Linked DNA regions of Lepisosteus oculatus. The protein of the gene in region 2 purifies or fractionates together with the protein of the main gene of each other region. This does not show direct contact. Links are inferred from orthologs where the notes say so. Each region holds a gene or a part of one and is shown on either strand. Other genes may lie near its edges. The genes, in order: siah1 and gapdh.

Region 1 (9,566 bases), on a different chromosome or scaffold from region 2:
TGGATGTCTGAGACACTCTAGTTAACCTCATTTAGTAGTTCCGGAAAGCACTCTGCTATCTGTAACTTTTGACAATTTAATTTCAAGTTGGAGAACATTAAGGCAGGAGAGAAGTGAAGGCTGACACACAGGTACTTCAGACAAACTATTGCCTATCCTGCAAATTATTCATTTGCCTTTAGCAACACTCATGTTTCCTGGACACAAGCTCTCAGCTCCATGAAGATAAAAGAAAATGGAAAATTAACAAGAAAGTCCCATTTCCAACAGCAGCTATACCACATGACAAGATCAAGCAGTCAGACCTCAGCAAGATCTCCAGGCATGGCTGAACTTGGTCTGTATTGGACCAAGAAGAAGAGAGGAGGTGGCTGCTATACCTGGCAGACCAGTATATGGTGCTCTTTCCTCTGGACCAGAAATACTAAACCAGCATGGCAAGTGTGACAGGACTAAATACCTTCTTTTGGACAAAGCATTAAATCAAGAGCCCGAAAACTTGGCCTTTAAAAATCAAGATTTAAGAGCTTATTAAGGCACCCTTAATAAGAGCAGAGCTGTGAGTTGTGGTGGTCAGGTTAAATTTCACTCTTGGATTGTAGTAGCCAGCCTCAATAAGCTTCCCCAGGTCACAGGTGGGTACTGTGCTTCAGTGGTAGATGAGGCAGGTTCTTGCGATGCCTAAAAAAAAAACCTTCGGACCATTTAGGATGAAAAGCACAACATGAGTGCGAATAATTTGATATCATAACAGACCTAAGCTACGTATGTGACAAGCTGTCCAGATGGTTGCAGTAATGGTGAAAACTGCTCCCCCAGCATCTCTCCAAACCACAGAGTTTTAGACCATTCAGCAGGAATGTGACCCCTCTGATGTGGATTTGTGTTAAACTGGATGTGCCTAAGAGCAGGCATACATACTTTTTTGCTCTATAACTTCGGGGCAGTACGTGTAGCCACACTACAACACGCATGATAAACAGAATTCTGCTTACGCTGCATGCGCTGTGGGATGTAAAGCTTAGTAGCACGCAGGGAAGCCAGGTTTTTGTGAACAAAGGAATGCAAATAAGATGTTTACATAAAAAAAGGCAAACAGGCTATTTACATATATGCTTGCAGAAGCCCATGATGAACCAGGATATGGAGCAAATAAGGGATATGTAACATGATGCAAAGCAGATTCCATATGGAAAACTCATTATGAGTGAACTGCGTAATAAACAAACACCTCACATTACTGTTAATAAAGAACACTTGTCACAAACTCTCCTTTTATGCGAAAAATAAAACACATTCCAGGCACATTCCCATGCACTCCAGTAAATCTTAGCATTAATTTTTAAAATATGACATTGTTAGGAGGCTGTTTGGAGTTCTTGCTAGCCTAAAATATAAATTTAGCGGTGGCCCGGTTAGGTCTTTCAGCTCTGCTGCAGGAATTTGGGGTTATAGTGCAAATAGATGTTTTTCCAGCTCAAATCTTTCCAGGGTTCAGTGGGCTGTTTTGGAGCAGACGCTGGCTGGATATACCATACTCTTTTTCAGGAGGAACAGCAAGTTTCAGCTCACAACAATAACCAGACAGCACAGAGGCGAGACTTCAAAAATAATTGACACACGACCTTCATGGACATGAATACCATGGACACGGGCCCTGACTTTGGTACAACACTGCGATATGCATTGTAAAAGAAATACAAGTTATAAAACAGGATCTGTCAACGTAATATTTCTCCGTAGAGTATTTATTGTGTTTATCACTAAAATAAAGCACAAGTGGAAACAGGCATGTTTTTATTTCCTCTAAACCATATCTAATCTTTTGGAAGCTCTCAAAGGGCCTCAGTAACCCAAATCTTCAACACTAACGGAACACACTGAACATTTTCAAAACCAATCCTCTGAATTGTTCTCAAAGGGGACCTTGGAAATTCCCCGAGATATCTCAGCTGAATCCCGAAACGGCCAGCCCAGAAGCTGCACAGGCAAGACCAAACGAAAGACGAAACCCAAAACACAAACACAGACAGTTCAGTAATCGCCTACCCTGCAGCACTGAAGTTCCTGCATGAAGCATGTCCAGGCGCGAGGTGGGTGAGGGGCAGAAACCAGGGGTCCACCTTGCAAACGATGCTCATCTAACTTAACAGAGGTCTCAAAACTGAAGGGGAATATAGGATACCTGCCATGGCCACAGGAAACAGACAAGGGCCTATATCCTCATCAGACTACATGCACAAGTGCAGTTGTCAGATCCCAACTACCCAAAGAAGACAAAACAGACTTTTCAGATAACGTCTTGCATGTCTGAGAACTATGGCTCAGCAAAGGCTGGTGCCTTTTCTACAATGCCCAAAGGAAGCATTTACTCCCATTAAAAAGTAAAACACAAACGCCCATTAGAATACATTTGCAAATCTGCAATTCTGACTGGCACACACTTAAGTCACCTTAAGTAGCTACAGACTCAAGTACTGGCAGCAGAGCCTAACTGTACTGCAGCAAACTCACCGGAATACAACCGATGCTTAGTCAGGTGAGCGACTGATTAGAAAACTTAGAAGAGGTTATCACTGATAAGCCAATACACTCAAATTAACAGTAACCCTATTTCAGAAGCTGGGTGTCAATACCTACGGCCTGTAACAATCCTTCACATGTGTACTCTCATTCTGCAGCTGCCACTCTGCTGAAGGGGCTCTAGAGCAGAAATAAGTACCACAGACAAGCTCAGCAGGGACAGTTTTAAAGCAGATGCGAGGGTGATAAATCCTCTTAAGAAACAGAGGGCGGTTCACCTGCGTGCCCAAGATTTAGAGCTGGGATGACAGCTGTCTAAAAGCCCCTGAGTCACCCACTCTACTTCAGGATGAGGAGAGAGGTGGCATGTCCCACACCTATGGGAGCTATTCATGTACAGTGGGTCCAGTCCCCTCTACCCTGAATCAGGGTGGCAGCAAGGACAACTAGCAGGGTCCCAATAGCACCCCCTTTGCAATTAACAATCACCCCTTCACAGTGACCCAGAAACATTTGGGCAGTCACAAGAAAGTGTGTCAAACAGCCACAATATCATGTATCTGCTTTTACAACAGCAAATACATCAGCAAAACAGATGGACTAATCCCTACCTTAGCAAAGTGCAATGTAATGGTGACATTTAACTACATATTACACTGTACTGCAATATGGGATTTTTACAACACAAATGCTAGTTTTGCCTACAGCAGCAACGCAACTGCCAAAATATCGTGCAACATCTTTATCTCAAATGCTTCTTTAAAACTGGCACTAGGGGAACTGAAGATCTCCCTCACAGGGGGGCAAATCTCATTTCGTTAATGCGTTCCTGGGTCACTACTGTAACCCACGCAACCCGCTTTTGTGGAGTAAATCTGAACTTCAAAGCAGACGTAATCCGCTCAGAGCATCAAACATCTCTTAATGGTCCAGATGCAATCGTCTCGGAGGACAGCTGGTTCCGTACCCGTCCGGCGCTCAGGAGCTGCAGCGTCCGTCTTACAGACGAGTACATTCAATCACCTGATGCCCTCACACATCCTCAAGGCAAGAAGCAAGGTTTCGGCTCCAGCAGCACAGGCCGGGGTAGCAACTTGACCTCCGCCATGTTGGCAGCGAAAAGACATGCACCCAAAAACCCAAACATCACGGCACCGTCTGCCGGGCTCGGACAGCCGGGCGGCAGGGGATTTAAAAACAAACCGCAGAGGGGGTATTCAGATAGCAATAGTGTTTAAAAGATTACCGTGAGACATACACACACGCCCCCCTGCTACAGGGGTATGTAGGGGATGAAAGCCATTTCTCCTGTATGAGGTTAGAGAAGAGGTCGCTCTTCTAACGCTCCTGCTGTCTGCGGTCCTTCAGCAGTTCGGGGAAACACAACGATCGTTTCCATTTCCCGGGGTTCGTCAGCCAAGCTGGACATCTCGTAGAGCCGCTCTCTCAATCGTTTAAAACAACAACAACAACAACCCGGCTTCTGCGGGGACCGAGCTCAGCCTCCCCGCCGCGCACGCCTGCACCCAAACCGAGAGGCCCAGCAACCCCAGCCCGCAGGACTGAGCAGCGGCCCCCCCTTCCCTTCCCGGCCCGCACGCCGACGCCGAGTAGGCCGCAGAGCCCCGCCGCCGTGAAGGGCAAGCCCGTGCCCGGCTGCCTCCTCGCCGGCCGGCCGGGGCTGCGCCGAGGCGCCCTCACGGCTAACCCGGCCCGGCCCGGGGGCTCTCCCGGAGACAGCGGGCCGGCCCCTGCACACGCACACGCACCCCCGCTGTTAAATACCCCCCCAGCCGACCCCCCCCGACACAGAGAAGAGCCTTGGGGAGGAAGAAAAAAAAAAGCAGACCTCTACCTTCGTGCTCGCTTTTACCTTTCCCGGGCCAGGACGAGCTCAGCGACATGGTCGCGGCCACTGTAACGTGCTCTTCCCACAACAAAGCGGAGCCGCGCCGACCCGTAATCCCAACCGAAACCCCGTCCGGACCCGGTCCGGGAGGGGGTCAACCGCTTACCTCTGACGAAATGTCTTTTTTTACTTTACTTTTTTTTTGTCGCTTTCCTTAATTATCCCAGCAGGCTTTCCGCTCGTAATGTTTTTTTTTTACCCTTTCGTTGTGTCCAGTGTTTCTGGATCCCCACATCCACGCTGTGTGTCTCCACACACACACACAGAGACAGACTCAGCCGCCGGTCTCGGAGCCGCGCACCGACTGTTGTTGAAATACTTTTCCACGGGAACTGCGGCGGGCGGCGGGGGCGCGCAGCCGGGAGCGCGCACCAGCTTCAGAAAGCGGGGGGCGGCGCTTCCGTCCATCTTGGCACGGACGTCACGTGCTCAGGTGTGCGACGCGGTGACAGGTGTAAAACAAACATCCCTGTATCTTATTGCCGAGTAAACGGCGCTCTAAACAGAGGGAATCGGATCAGGGCCGAGTTGAAGTCTCTAAGGAACAGCAAAGGAAACAAAACCCAATACAAACCAGGGGCGTTTTAAAGCGGCGGCAATTTTGGCGTGGAGGCGTTAAGCATTAAGTGATACTCAAATCCTAGCCGACTATCATTTTCAAAATGTCTTAACTACAAGGAAATCATACTGTATGTTTAGACTGCATGTGTACTTCTGTTGTAGGTGTGTGGCTTCTAATAAAACAAACACTAAGTTCAGCTCAATGGATCAATTAGTTGATTTAATGAAGCAAATATTTGGACATGGATATGAAAAGTAACCAGAGCCAGTAGGAACAAAAATACAGCTCAGGAAATCACAATGGATTTTCGGGACATAAACAGTGTAACAGTTGTTTTGTAACGTCAAAACCAACGTTAGTGTCTTGTCTGACCTCCCTGAAGACTAACTCAGCCCTGGAGCACTGACTCACAGTCCTGATCAGCCTCTGGACCGTAGGCTGTCCGGCTACACTCTTCCAGGGCAGCTGCTGCCAGCTGGTCAGGGGCGGCCTGTCGTGACGTCTCCTGTTGAAGTCTGTAGTAATTTGGTCCCACAGCTGCTCTGTTGCCACAGAGAGACCCTGACAGTGTTTTCCTGAGGTTGTCCTGTTGTAATCCTGCCTGGGTGGTCTTGCATCATCCGTTCTGGAAAATGTTCACTTCCAGCCAGGCTTGCAGGAATGGAAGAGCTGTTTCCTCAAGCTCTTTCTTCCTCAGCAGTAGGTTTGTGGTCAGTCTGAACCGAAGGTGTCCTGGTGTTAAAGGAGACTCCTCTGCACATCACCACACCTCCACCACTCCAGCAGTTTGTCTTCAACAGTCAACATAAGGCTCATGAAGGTGTCTCCACACACCTTGTCTTCCATCAGTCTTACAAGAGCCCAACAGGAGCGGAGTGGTGGCTCTGTGGCTCAGGATCTGCGCCTGTGGCTGGAAGGTTACCAGTTCAAATCCTGCAGCCGGCAGAGGAATCCTACTCCGTTGGGCCCCCGAGCAAGGCCCTTCACCCCAACTGCTCCAGGGGCGCTGTATAAATGACCCTGCGCTCTGACCCCAAGCTTCTTTCCCTGTCTGTGTGTCTCATGGAGAGCAAGCTGGGGTCTGTGAAAAGACAAATTCCTCATGCAAGAAACTGTATAGGGCTAATAAAGTGATGTTATGTTAAAACAGCCAGGAAGTCAGGAAATAAAACCCTCCAGCAGTCACTCTGCTGCCACCCCATGTCCTCTGGCCCACAGCAGACAGCGATTTCATCTCCCTGCGATGACATGTTAGTGAGCCTTTCTGCACCCCCACCTGGCTTCCACAACACGCCGAGACTGAAGAGCCCCAGCCGACAGAGGACAGCAGCTCTGGGGTCCCTGTGCTGACAGGAGTGACCAGTGAATTGGGCTGCAGGCAGCCTGTGTCATTCCCAAACCAGAGCCCTTTCGACAGCCTGGCTACAGACGAAGACCGGGTGAGTTGTGAGACACTGCAAGAGGAGGGTAACTGCTCTGAGGCCATCTTAGAGACTGTGTGCGGCAGGGACACTTTTTCCTTGCAGTGCAACGATAATATGCCTCTGCAAGGACACACTTCTGTCTGCAGTACCAAGCACCTGGCTGTCTCGCCTCCTACTCCTGTCTGCATCAGAGACACAGACAGCAGGCAGGGTCACTCTGCGTCCTCAGACGAGCTCTGCCAGCTAGCGGGGAGCCCGGACTTCATCCCAGAGCCCGTCTCACAGCAGCAGGAACACAGGCAGGACCTGGAATTCATCTTGTCTCCAGACAGCGTCCGTCTCACTACCATTTCTCCCACACACATTTTCAGCACGGTTCAACAGCACCGATTTGAACCCAACGGGGAGCTCACACTGCAGTCCCGACACCAGCCAGCGGGCATTGATTTGGGCCAGAGCAGCGTCATGCCCGGTACCCCGGTGCTGCTGAAGAGAACCGGGCCTGCTCTTGTGTTGGGCCTCACATGAGGGTACTGTTCAGGGAGCCTGGTTGAAAAGGACCAACCAGGGACAGGCTGGATACCCAGGAAGATAGAAACTGGACTGGATAATGGATTTTGAGTTATATAATGCCGTTCACAACATGTTGATATCTGGTACTTTCCTTGTGTTTTTTAACATTTTTGTCCTAACATGTTTTTTTGTTTTGTTCTGCTTGAAGTGTGATGCAAGACAGTTTTGTTGTTGTTTTGTTTCAGTTTAACATGTGAGAACTGCCTGAGCTATTTTTGTGGTTCAATGTTTTCGGTGACACTTGCTTTTCATGCTTTTCGGCCTTTGCCATCGTTTAGGCCTCATTGTTACGGCGCTTAGTGAAGGACATTTACACAAAACATTTTCTTGATTTTATTACTGGTTTAGTTTAAAAACTTGTTATGGTTCTATTTACAATGTTTGTGTTTTGTCACATTTAAACCTTAGATCTGTTGGTTTAGTGCTGCTATTCAAATGCACCTTTCATATGCCAGCAGCTATATCACCCTGCAACTCACAACTGGCAGCCCACTGAAGCTCAGCAGGTGTGAGCCTGGTCAGTACCTGGATGGGAGACCTCCTGGGAAAAACTAAGGCTGCTGCTGGAAGAGGTGTCAGTGGGGCCAGCAGGGGACCTCACCCTGCGGTCCATGTGGGTCCTAATGCCCCAGTATAGTGACGGTGACACTATACTGTAAACAGGCGCCGTCCTTCGGATGAGAAATAAAACCGAGGTCCTGACTCTCTCTGGTCATTAAAAATCCCGGGGCGTTTCTCGAAAAGAGTAGGGGTGTTACCCCAGCGTCCTGGCCAAATTTCCCATTGGCCCTTACCAATCATGGCCTCCTAATAATCCCCCTCTATGAACTGGCTACATTCATTACATACATACATTAGCTGGTGTGTGGTGAGCATTCTGGTGCACTATGGCTAGGGCTGGGCCATTCTGGTGGGGCTGCACACTGGTGGTGGTGGTCAAAGTGCCAAACAGGGACTCAGGTTTACAGCAGCAGTGCCTTCCAAGCAGTGGAGACCATGTGTACCCTACTATTCCCAGCATTGTCTAGGTAAAAGATAACTTTGATTGTTCTCCTTTACAGTTTTACCTGGGACCAAATCTCTGCCATTGTCTTAGAGTCACTTCAAACAAAGACTCTTTAGAGGAAAGAAAAGGAACAGAATGTAGTTTTTTGTGTGTGTTTTTGTTATAATGAGTAATGGACACCTCTGTGTTTATTGAGTTGAAAGAGCTGTGGTCTATAGCAAACAGTTTATTCTGTCACTGAACAGGGTTTGCAAGGCACCAGAAATTGGTAAGCGACACTTGTGGGATTAATCAGATCTCAGAAGCAGAAGCTGAAATCCGCGTGAATCACATAAATAAGGTGACTTCCACTGTTCAGTACAGATTTGTTGGGTCCACTGGGGAACCTGTATGCAAAGTTTTGTATTTTTGTTTTGCAAAAGACCACTAGCCATAAAACGACATCAGACACAGAGTGATTGTCCTAATGTTGCTAACGTTGGTAATTGGGCATCCTCTTGATAAGCCTATAAATAAGGGAAATCAAGTTGGAAAAAACACTAAGCTCTCTCAGTAAAGAACACTCGTTTTCTCTTAAACTGGGGAATTTAAATTCAGAAACCTACTGAAATATAATTCAGATAAAAGCAGAAATATGTTACCTTTCCTTCACCCCTTTAATAACTTCTCTACTCTATAAGGTCACTTGATGAAACCAATTATTGGGGACAATAGTTTTGTTACAACTTTGGTGGCTGAGACATGATAAAGTTTGTGACACTGGGAAGAGTAAATACTTCTATCTTCAAAGCAGAGAGGATGTTTGCTGAGGTCTGGGGAGTCCCTTGAGCAGAAACAAGAATAGTAAATAATAGTAAAATTCATCTTAGTATGTCTAGGCAAGTTGAGCATTAATGATTGCAAAGGAGCAAAGCAGAAAGACACAGTTTCACATTAAGAGCACAGGAGAAGAGAAGCAGGAGGAGAAACAAGGAGAGCAGGGAGAAGAGAGGAGTCCGGAGGAGTTGGGACTTGAAGCTTGTGCCAAGTGAGTGCCCCTACCTCTTGATCATCCAAACCAAAATTGACTGGAACTGAGTAGTTGAACCTTATCAGTGTTTTTAGGGAACTTGGGTTTCCTGGGTAAAAGATACCTCAGTTAGAAACATCTTTCCTGATTAGGGTGAATTTTATGGATAGGGATATATGCTCCCATTTATTTTGTGGCATCCAAGGCGCAGAGAGAGAGACTTAACTGTAGGTTGCTTTGTATGTAGTTAGAAGGCAGCTCACCTCTTGTGAGGCCTCTGTAGGCATTAGTAGCAGTCTGGAGTTGTCTGGGTGACCAGAATGTTAGGCCTCTGAAACGCCTTATTTGTAAATTCTGAATATAATGTAACTTTGTGTGTTGTATGTTTTGTGTCTTGTGTAGTTTATTGTAATATCTGTTTTAACTAAGTGTGCCTGGATTATTACTCCTCTCAACAAAGCTGTGCCAGAGAATGAAGAATTCAGGTGTGCCTCTAGTTATACCAGCTGGGGTATATTGTTAGAAATCACATACAAGTTGGTGGTCTATAAATAATTATT
Region 2 (10,249 bases):
ACCCTGCCTTGCGCCCAGTTCTATGTTGGGATAAATCCCAGCTCCCCCGCGACCCTGCACTGGAAGAAGCGGTTAAAAAGCTGGCGATAGTTTTTCACGACCTTAACACGTGTTCCTTCCCATCAGCTTCTGCGGGAGTTTTTGGAACAGTACAGGGATCTCCTGACCGCAGACGAACTGGAGAGCCTCGCCGGCGACCCCGGGGAGAGGTTACGACCGGCGGACACCACTTCGAAGGCCGCCGAGTACCCGGGATGGACTGACCTGCCCCCAACAAGTGAGCACCCGTGGTACCGCCTGTTGAGGGACACGCTGGCCAATCGAAAGAGAGCTTTCTCCGACCGGGCCAAGAAGGGGTGGGCCCGAGGCTGCTTTGGCCTCAAACTCGACCGGATTGGCTCCCTCAGCGGGCTCGGCTGCTAACTATTGGCTGAGGTGAGTGTCTTTCTGAGGACAGGCCAGGCAACTACAACCAACTTGACAATTTGCATGTAGTTTTTTTTCCCCACTCTCAACCTTGAAGATGAAGCGTGTAGAACTAATATAATATGAATGTTGCAAAAATAAACTCTATACAAGCTCATGATGTTAATTAGCAACAAACGGCACCGTGTTGCTAATTATAATGTAAACCTAGCAGTATAAGTTTAAAACTGAGCTATCAGGTATTAAAACTCCCCTTTAAAGAGTAAGAGAGAGCCTTTAATATCCCTGAGGGGGCAATTTGCTTCACTGCAGCAGTGCTGTTGTACAGACGGACAGAGAAACAAAAGAACACGACTAAAACAACAATATACACAACATACATGCATATTTGCATGAAAGTCAAGTGTTAAGTAACAGTATGACTACTGGTATGCATGAGAACGTAATTCTATTGGTCTGGAGAGTTGATGAGTCTGTATCTGCGTTCTGATGGGAGAAACTGGAAATTATTCAACAAGGGGGTGAAGGGAGAAATTTCTCTAGTCTTCGACAATTCGGTGCCTCACAGTACAAATCTATCTCCTGAGCGGGAGTCCGAGCTAGGTCAAATCTCAATTAATTTTAAGGCTGCAGGGTGTGTGCCTGCTCCACTTTGTGCTTGGTGTTGTGATCCAGGTGTATTGCCTTTTTGTTCTTGTCGGCGACACGAGCCAGTGATCTCTGGCTGGGTAGAAACGTCATGTGTGACGACGCCTGAGTCTTCGCCCTGACTCGTCTCTCTCGGTCTCTCTCGTCCCTGCAGGTGTTCCCCGGCGTTCTAGAACCTTCTGCCAACCCCCACCCCCAGCGCCGTTCTAGAACTCCACCCTGTCGTTCTGCGTGTTTTTCAAAATGCTCCGTCTCTTCCCTGAATATGTATCACCCATTTTACTTTTTCCTTTAAAATGAAAACAAGGCAGCTTGTCTCGAACTTGTGAGCGATGTGTGTACCTGGCTTTTCAGACTAGTGACTTCGGCTGCGCTCTGTCTTTTCTCCTTTCTGACACGGAGTAAAAGACTGTAGTAGGCTACTGTAGTGTTTGCTCAGAAGCTATAATTTCGCCCTGGCACTATATACCGCCGGATCTATGTAGGAGGCTGTCCACTGCACAGCAGCAGAACGTGCTCACAGTTTGCTGATGGCTATGTGGAAATATGAAGCAGGCAAAATACAGTGCTGTAATTATTTATTTGATAGACGACATTACTCAAAGCGGCTCTCTGAGGGGACGATGCTTTCCCTGTTTGTTACACGCGAATGCCGGTACCAGGCGACGTAGAGTAGAGTACTTCACTCCTCCACGGAAGCTTTTCAGCAATCATTCTGTGCCAAAGCAGAGAGCTACGAGAATGGCCTGGCTACCGTTGAACAAGAGCCCCCCAGCACCGCTGTGCAGAATAGTGTGGACTGCAGCACCGTGCATTTGTTGACATGTTTCATGAAAGACTAGTTTCAGTTTTGGCCCACAGTGCCTCGCTATGGCATGGCATCCTACTGTCACTGTAGTATTGTTTCCTTTACCTGTCTGTAATAAAACTACACGCTGCTTATGTAACCGAGAGTAGCTTTTGCTGGATGGGGGGAGGGTGTATTTACTGGAGGAGAAATTCACCAAGCCATGAGCCTGATGTGAAGGGAAACTCTCCACCACCCGCGGTGATTCCTTGATCCCGGCCGGCTGGAGGAGTTCGACACCCCCCCGAGGAGAGAGGCTGGAGAGACCCGGGCCCCAGGTCCCATCTCCGTCGGGTCCTGCCCTCGTCGTGTGCCGCTTGTTCATCGTCAACAAACCAACACCGTGTCCGGAGATGCTGTCAAAATAAAAGATTTGTGTGGGTTTTCGGAGTCTGGGCTGCATTATTACTGTCGGAGCTCCGTCGTGGGACAGCTCCTTGATCAGATCCGAAGATGCGACGTTGCAGTTTCTCGCGAAGCCACTGGGTGTCAGCATTGCGACGCGTATTAACAAAAAGGCGCCGCTTCCCCATGAGAAACGTTTCACCTGTTGGCAGTTCAGCTCGGAGACAGGGGACGCACTTTCTTTAAAAGGGGGAACAAGGCGGGGCTGTTTCTTGTAAGTTTAGTTCCTACAGTGGATCGAGGTAAACTTGAATTCACAATAAACCTCTTACACTAAGTACACACTCTTAACAAGTCAAGATTCTATAGTGATACCGACGTTCATAAAAAAAGGGTGATTGTCCTTTATCGATCAGGGTAAGTGCTTGCTGGGGCTGGATTTGCACAGCGCAAGAGCCCCTCCAAGTCCGACCACTTGCTGTTGTCCATGCCTTTCACCTGTCCCGGCTCCGAAACGACGGTCGTCCCGTCCTCCGCAGAAGCGCTGACCAGCTGGAAACCAGCTGTGGGTCGAGCGAGATGTCTTTTAGATGGCTCGGTCAGTAATGAACAGGTTCTGACCGGGATGCAAGCAACCCCCTTTTCATACCGCAGCGTGTGGCATTCACCGAAGGAGGACTCTGGGAGTGGATGGAGAGGGGAAGCCGGGGGTCGGGTTTTCAAGCGAGGGCCAAATATGTCTCTGTCGGCCCGGTCTAGCCGGCGCCAGGATTTCCGATTCCCTCCGTCCAGGCCGCCCACAGCAGTTCCCTGCCCGGCCACTGAGGTCAGATCCCCCTGCGGTCCGGTGTCTACCGGGGCTGAGCGGGGTTTCGGACCCGAGCGGCTCTCCCAATTTTTTATTTGTCCCCTTTTTTGCCTCCTTTCCTCGGGAGCTTGGCACTGGACCCAGTCGCCGGTAGGCTCGTCGTGCTGAGTGCTGGCGGAGCGCCTGGCTGGTCGGACCCGGTGCCAAACTACCTATTTTCCCTGCTGCCCGGCTGGGGGGGGGGGGAGGGTATCTTGGCTCACCCGGCCAGTCATTAACGACACCCCCAAGAAGGTTCCACAGCCGAAACGTGGTTTCCTTTCTTCTCTTTAGGCACTGCAGATCAGGCACTGCAGATACAGTACAGTGTAGATTAGACTCTGTAGATACAGTACAGTGTGGACCTGCTCTGTAGATACAGTACAGTATAGATTAGACTGTGTAGATACAGTACAGTGTAGATCTGCTCTGTAGATACAGTACAGTGTAGACCTGCTCTGTAGATACAGTACAGTGTAGATCAGGCTCTGTAGATACAGTACAGTGTAGATTAGACTCTGTAGATACAGTACAGTGTGGACCTGCTCTGTAGATACAGTACAGTGTAGATTAGACTCTGTAGATACAGTACAGTGTAGATCTGCTCTGTAGATACAGTACAGTGTAGACCTGCTCTGTAGATACAGTACAGTGTAGATCAGGCTCTGTAGATACAGTACAGTGTAGATTAGACTCTGTAGATACAGTACAGTGTGGACCTGCTCTGTAGATACAGTACAGTGTAGATTAGACTCTGTAGATACAGTACAGTGTAGACCTCCTCTGTAGATACAGTACAGTGTAGATCTGCTCTGTAGATACAGTACAGTGTAGATCAGTCTCTGTAGATACAGTACAGTGAAGACCAGGCTCTGTAAATACGGTACAATGTAAATCTGGTATATAATGTAGTATATCTGTTCTGCCCTATAATGTAGTATAGTACATTATAGGGCAGAACAGCACACCATAGACAGCTACATTGATAAATTGCAGTATCAATCTGGCACTATATATAATACAGTACAGTTTGTACCTTACTCGGGGAAATACAGTACAGTGTAGTGCAAGCATATCCATGGTGACTTAAAGGCAATTTCAGACACTGCGACTGACTGCCTGGGCATTAGCACCACGGTGAAAGAGCGAGGTACAGAGAGTGGGGGCACGGAAAGGTCAGGGTCCTTCCAGCGAGCGCTGAGCTGACCTTTTCCTAGCTCCCAGACGGAAATCGATCCCCCCAGTCTCTCCGTCTCTGGAGAAGGTCAGATGCAGGCAACCGATCTCGCCAACCAGACTCCCGGCGCTCACGCCCCTGTCCGCCTGTCCTGGCGGCGGCGTGTGTGGCCTGAATGTCTTTGCGAGTGCGCCTCTGCCTCTGAGTTTTAGACCATGGCCCGTCTCTTTCACTCGCATGCAGTCGTAACCCGACGGCCGGGGTAGGAACGGCAGACGCGCGGATCCCCACGTAGCCCCAGTGCGGCCGATCCAGCGTGTGCTCGGTCGCCGTGGCAACGCAGCCACAGAGCCTCCTCGCAGCCAACGAGTGACGTCGGAGAGTCGGAGTGGCAGCGGAGGCCACCAATAAGACAAAGGGGGAGGGGCAGGGGGCGGGGAGGCCGTCTCCGGGATAGGTCGTGAGGCTAGAAACTTAATTACAAACCCGCTCATCGGCTGCCGTTTACACTGGCAAAACACTTCTTGCGATTCGCTCTCTTGTATACGTTAAAGTCATGCGCGTCTGCTGCTCTCCTGTCTATTAACCATTACTATTTTAAGTATTTCATAATTTATTGAAGTAGTTCAGGTGGGGAGCTGCGTCAGCATGAATAGGCTGCAGAGGAACAATGGAGTCATGCCCTGCTGAAAAGAGAAGAAAAGAAACACAACGTTCTCTTTTCATCATGGAATAAACCTATTACTTGTTCCATGAATAATTTATTGGTTACGAAACCACCCTATTCTTCTTCTGCTTTTATTCTAGTAGCTGTAGCAACAGCCTCTATTATCTTTCTCAAAGGCACCTTTACACATTTGGGAAGGGTCAATGCTTACACAGCACCCCAGAGATCAAATGTCACACCTGCGCTGTGGCCTAACCACCCCTGACCGCGGTAATATGACAGGCTGCTCATGATGAATTCGGAGCCTCCTGTCTCCTGCATCAAGGAGACCTTTGTACTGAAGACGAGGCGACGCCTCCGGCCTGCGCCAGCCAATAGGAACGCGTCCCCCTCGCCACACCCAGCGCGCCAGCATCACCCACGTCTTTCTAATATAGGTGCCATACACGGGTCTTTCAAACTCCTTCATTCCACGAAGGAGAACTCTGAAGTGCATATTATTAGCTCATCTCCAAACCACCCCACCCCACAAAAAAACAACGCGTTGCAGTATGCAGTATCGCGTTTGTTAACAGTACTTTTGAAATAATCTTTGCGCTTTGAGAAGCCACCTTTAAAGGCGCTATATAAAATAAAGTTTATTATTATTATAATCTCTCACTTCAATTCTGTATTGTGATATAGTGCACGGGGCCATCGCATTAGATCAAGAATAAATGCATGAGGTCACAAGCAATAAGAGCAAGGGAAACATACAAAAAAAAAAGCATCGGGACACTTCCCATGCAGCGCCGTGACGCACTATCCCCGCACGCTGCTCGCGTGTGTTCTGCAGGAGCCGTCATGGCGGCCGCGGACTCGGGTGACCTTGAGGTTCCGCCCGCGGAGCGCCGGCAGGAGGCAGGGCGGGGAGGGGGGGGGCGTGACCGTCGCCAGCTTACCGGTATAAAGTGCACCAGCCCGGCCACTGGCTCTTCACTCCACTGAAAGTCAGAGTTTCCGGAAGGGCAGAGGAGCTGTAACTCACAAACGGTAAGTATGTGGTTTCCTGAAGCTGGACTTTGTGTTGAGTGTCTAGGGATGTAATAGGGCTCAATATACCACTTTTTTGCGCCTTTGTATTTGGAGCTATCGGATAGACTATTTGCATCTGTCGTCTGTGCACCTAGCAGTCGTTTTGCTGTGAAGTGCCCAGTTCTGTGCGGAAAGGTCTTGTTTTCGGAGGCTGCAAGGCTGTATCGTCTTCTAATGACGCGCTCCTACTGCACAGTACCGCTGTTCTTCGCTTGATTGGGGTTCTCTGCTCCTCCGTCTTGCAACACCTCCGTTTCGCGTAAAGGAATACTTGTAGTGTGTGTGTGTGGGGGGGGTGGAGAGATGGCGACCTGCTTGCTTCATTGTCGCTTACCGTTTAGCGAGCGAGCACGGCTGCAGTCTCAAGTCTAGCATGGCGCCGTGTGTGAATCGTAAGCTCGCTGCGTTGTGAGTGCGCCGATGTTCTACGGAATACGGCTCCCCTCCGACATAGGTGCGAGTTTAATGTTCGCCAGTTCTCATTTCTACAGGATGCTTAGTGTGGGTGGGCGGTATCTGTTGAAGTGCCTAGGGACGGTTCTGGCTTCGGTACAACCTTGTACTTAAAGGAGAAACGGGAAAACTTTTGGAACTAGTTTCGTTTTTTTATTTTTGGCGGTTGGCTTATGACGTTTTAGACGCTACTGCGCCTGAGCTTGTTCCGTGTCATTCGGGGTGCATTTTTTCTTAATGTTTTTTTTTTTTGTTTCCTCCTTCTAGACGAGGACTTTAACCTGTTAACCATGGTGAAAATTGGAATCAACGGGTGAGTAAACCTTCATCAGGTCACTGATCCACTGTGTGGAAGGTGTAAGTGATCCAACTTTGTGTGTTGGATCTGGTGCACATGAGAGCCTAATTTCAAAGTCTAACGTCCTGAAAGGGCCTGCCATCTCATTCTTGTAATTCGGTTAACCTGGTTTCATTTAAGCATCTAACCAGTTTTGGAGGTAACTGGCTTTCATTCTTTCAAGATGTGCATTTAGCTTTGAATGCTTTAGGCTTCATGAGGAGGAGAGCTCTTGACTTGAAGTGGCTCTCCACCTTGGCCTTTAAGCAGTGCCTCCAAATTTGGGAGTGTTGTTCAACGGAGCTCAAAAGGTCAGGAGAGGAGCAGATAATGTCTCTTCTGCCCCAGTGGAACCTGTGGGCCTACATGACCTGCTTGGATTAAGGGGAAACTTGATTGCTCCACTATATAGTGTGGGTAGTAACTATCCCTCCAGATCCTGGTTTCACATGGCTCTCTTTGAGGTCCTTGTGCCTTACATTGACTGAAATGGCTACACCTCAGTCTGTTATGTACTGATCTGGAAGAGGCTGTGCTATTTGTACCGCTCTGGACATGAGTACACAACAGCAGGGGCTTAATCTGACTCTTATTGTAGGTGCTCATTTGCAACCTTGGGTTCACCAGCAACTCCCAATCGGGTGTCCAGCTGATGCATTTCCACCTGGGACTTTGAGTCTGAGGCCAGTGCTTTTGAGTCTGGTGCCCTAACCCACCGGGGGGAGGCCTGATCAGAGAGCTTTTAGCCTGTGAAGCTAAAAGCGGTTATCTCAAGACTCGAGGGTCTTAACCTGGCTTTGCACAAGACAGCTGGAGACCGGCTTTCAACATGGCTGAGTTTCTTGTTCCATCTTCCCCATAACCCATTGGGTGCAGTGCTCCCCCCTTGTTCTGCGGTTTTATTCTGGCAGGTTGCTTGGCTTGATTTCCTCGGCCCCTAGCTGGCTTTTGCAGTGTTGCCACTGGCCCAACTGGGTGGGGAGAAGAACGATCTGGAAGTCGGACCAAGCCCAGCAAGCTTGGAGTGTCAACTAGGTGGTTAATGATGCCAGTGTTCCTCCCTGGCATGACTTTAGATTAGCTGACTAAACTACGCTCCTACAAAGCCATCGGTGTTTGAGTTTCTGCTTCAGTTGCTTGATTTGCTGGGGGTGGATCCAAAGACCCATATTGCCACAATATTGTTACACCCAAACTACCAGCTGTCCTGCTGAGTCGCAAGTGCTACTGCACTGTCTGGCTTGCTCTCTGCTCCCCTTAGTCCAGAGAGACGGCGAGCTGCTATCTTGCTTGGATTCAAAAACTAAAACCACATGTAAAGATCAGGGGTTATAGTGAAACTTCAGTCCCTGATCTCCATGCCACTTTTGAATACTGGGGTGGGGGGACTGTAAGTTTAGATTGAGTGCCCCAGTCAAACATTAAGGCTGGTAGTCTGGAGGTTTGCCCTACACCTCCTTGCCCTGTTCGTCTACTGTACTCTTCAGTCTGTGCTCTGTAACCTGTACAGTTGGCCTCTTGGTCTGCTCTATTTTTAGTTTAGTTCTGTTAAGTGACACTAGTCGAGGCACAGCTGTCGCATTCTTCTCTGCCTATTTTAGGCGAATAACCTTTCTTGAAGGCTGGGGGTCATCCAGTGATCTTTAACTCCGACCTCTAGCCTTTTCCTGGGTGGAATGTGGTCCACAAATGAGATCCGTTCAGTAATGGCATTTTAGTTATAGGTCAGGCTCCCACTCTGTGACCTGGAGTGGTTCAGTCAGCTTTGCTGGTTGTGGAGGCGCTATACAACCCAAGCCTGCAGTTCCTAAGTGGGTTTCCCACTACAGGATGTGTTAGACCTCTGTACAGCAGGTGCTGGCTTGTCCTGATGATGCCCACCACTTGAACCCGAGATGCACTTCTGGAAGCTAGTGTTAAAATGGGAATTCAGCTGCATGAAAGGACACAATAGGGTTTATAATTTTAAAGGACCTTCTCCAATCAAGCCTGGTGACTTACAAGGGCTGCCCATTTCAGTTCTGGTGTGCTGTGGCTTTTTTCAGGCTTTCCTCTCCAGCTGAAGAAGGGAGCAGTGGGATGACTCCTCCCCTCCAGTTTGGAGGTAGCCAGCCAGTCAGGACTGGGGTGGGGCAGTGGGGAGATAATGGACCCACTTCTGACTTTAGACCCAGATAAAACCCTGTTTATCAATTACTTTTATGGAAGTGTGTGAATGTTCTGTGCTTGCTTCCTACTATGAACAGCCCCTTTCTGCAGAAGAGGACAGAACCCTGTACTGTCTTGTTAATATTCACCTTTGAAAACTGCACTTTGGCCCTTAAATTTCCTTCAAAAACATGAACTATGCCACAAAATGGGCACTGGGTACCTTACTGCACTGAGGTTGGTGGTCCTTCTGGCCTGATACGAATGACTGTTCAATCTGCTTGTGGAGCCTGTGTTGGCTGGTTCACCTCCCTCTGTGTCATAGAAACCCCTCTCTGCCACTACAGCATGTATGAACAGGACCTACCCGTTTCCATCTCCTTATTCTCGGCTGCGTTTAATTACTGGTAACGACAACACTGGCTAAACATCAACCTGTTTTCTCCTTTGGGTTTTGCTGATCAAATATTTGTGCAAGTCTGGAGTTGTGCAATGCTGGGATGGGTTAATATGTATAGATATGAACTTCAGTCCTAATACCGAAGTGCAGTGGCTAATGGCGAACTCAAGGCCTTTATCTAAGAAGCTCTCGGTAGTTGAGAGAGTGACTGGATGCTGCCCCCTTCTGGTGCAGGTTGGAACAGTATTTTCAACTTGACACTGAGCAGTTGGCCATCAAAGGGCTGAAGATGCTCTCAGGTCCTGGAGTATCTCGATCTGTTGGCTTTTGTTCCAGTTGGGTCCTTAATGTTAACTAGCACCAGCAACTGACTTGCTTGCTGGTTTAGATTTCAAATGCACTATTGATGTGAATTTACTCCCTTATCTGTGCTATTTATCACAGGCTTCCTCTCTATTGCACACCATTGAGCTTTTAGACCTGGAAGCACATTTTAAAGGCCTTGCATGGAAGATTTGAGTCTTGCCTGTGGTTAAGATCTTGGCATAAGACAACCAGAAGGCTTAAGTGCTGCCTGAGTTTTGATTTGATTGCCTTACTTAATAGGGGAAATACATGCACCACCTTCACATCCAGTTGACACCTTAACAGTTTTGTAACTGTACTCAAATCTAAGCCCTACCTTAAGGCTCAAAAGCAGAGAATAGGTTGGTAATGGCTTTTTTTTTTTAAATAAAGCCTTCATCTTTAAGTGATGGGTGTCCTTGCACATCTTGCATCCACAATTTCAAGAGGACTGTTCCCTACAGCTGAATGAGAAGCCCTTGGGATAACAAAGGGATAAGCCAGAGCGTGGGCTCCTGTGTTTCAGCACAAGCAT

Evidence for each region.
Region 1: the proteins of gapdh (region 2) and siah1 purify together in Homo sapiens (affinity purification with western blotting; 4 studies listed by BioGRID). This does not show direct contact. The link is inferred for Lepisosteus oculatus from reciprocal best matches to the Homo sapiens genes GAPDH and SIAH1.

What each region holds. Positions count from the first base shown.
Region 1 is NC_090715.1:1,593,457-1,603,022, forward strand, and holds the start of siah1 (E3 ubiquitin-protein ligase Siah1), read right to left. Parts: upstream 3,737-9,566; 5' UTR 1-3,736. UniProt on the Homo sapiens protein: E3 ubiquitin-protein ligase that mediates ubiquitination and subsequent proteasomal degradation of target proteins.
Region 2 is NC_090718.1:3,650,666-3,660,914, forward strand, and holds the start of gapdh (glyceraldehyde-3-phosphate dehydrogenase), read left to right. Parts: upstream 1-5,888; 5' UTR 5,889-5,989; intron 5,990-6,751; 5' UTR 6,752-6,774; coding exon 6,775-6,797; intron 6,798-10,249. Other genes in the region: nppcl (C-type natriuretic peptide-like), read left to right, coding at 127-423. UniProt on the Homo sapiens protein: Has both glyceraldehyde-3-phosphate dehydrogenase and nitrosylase activities, thereby playing a role in glycolysis and nuclear functions, respectively.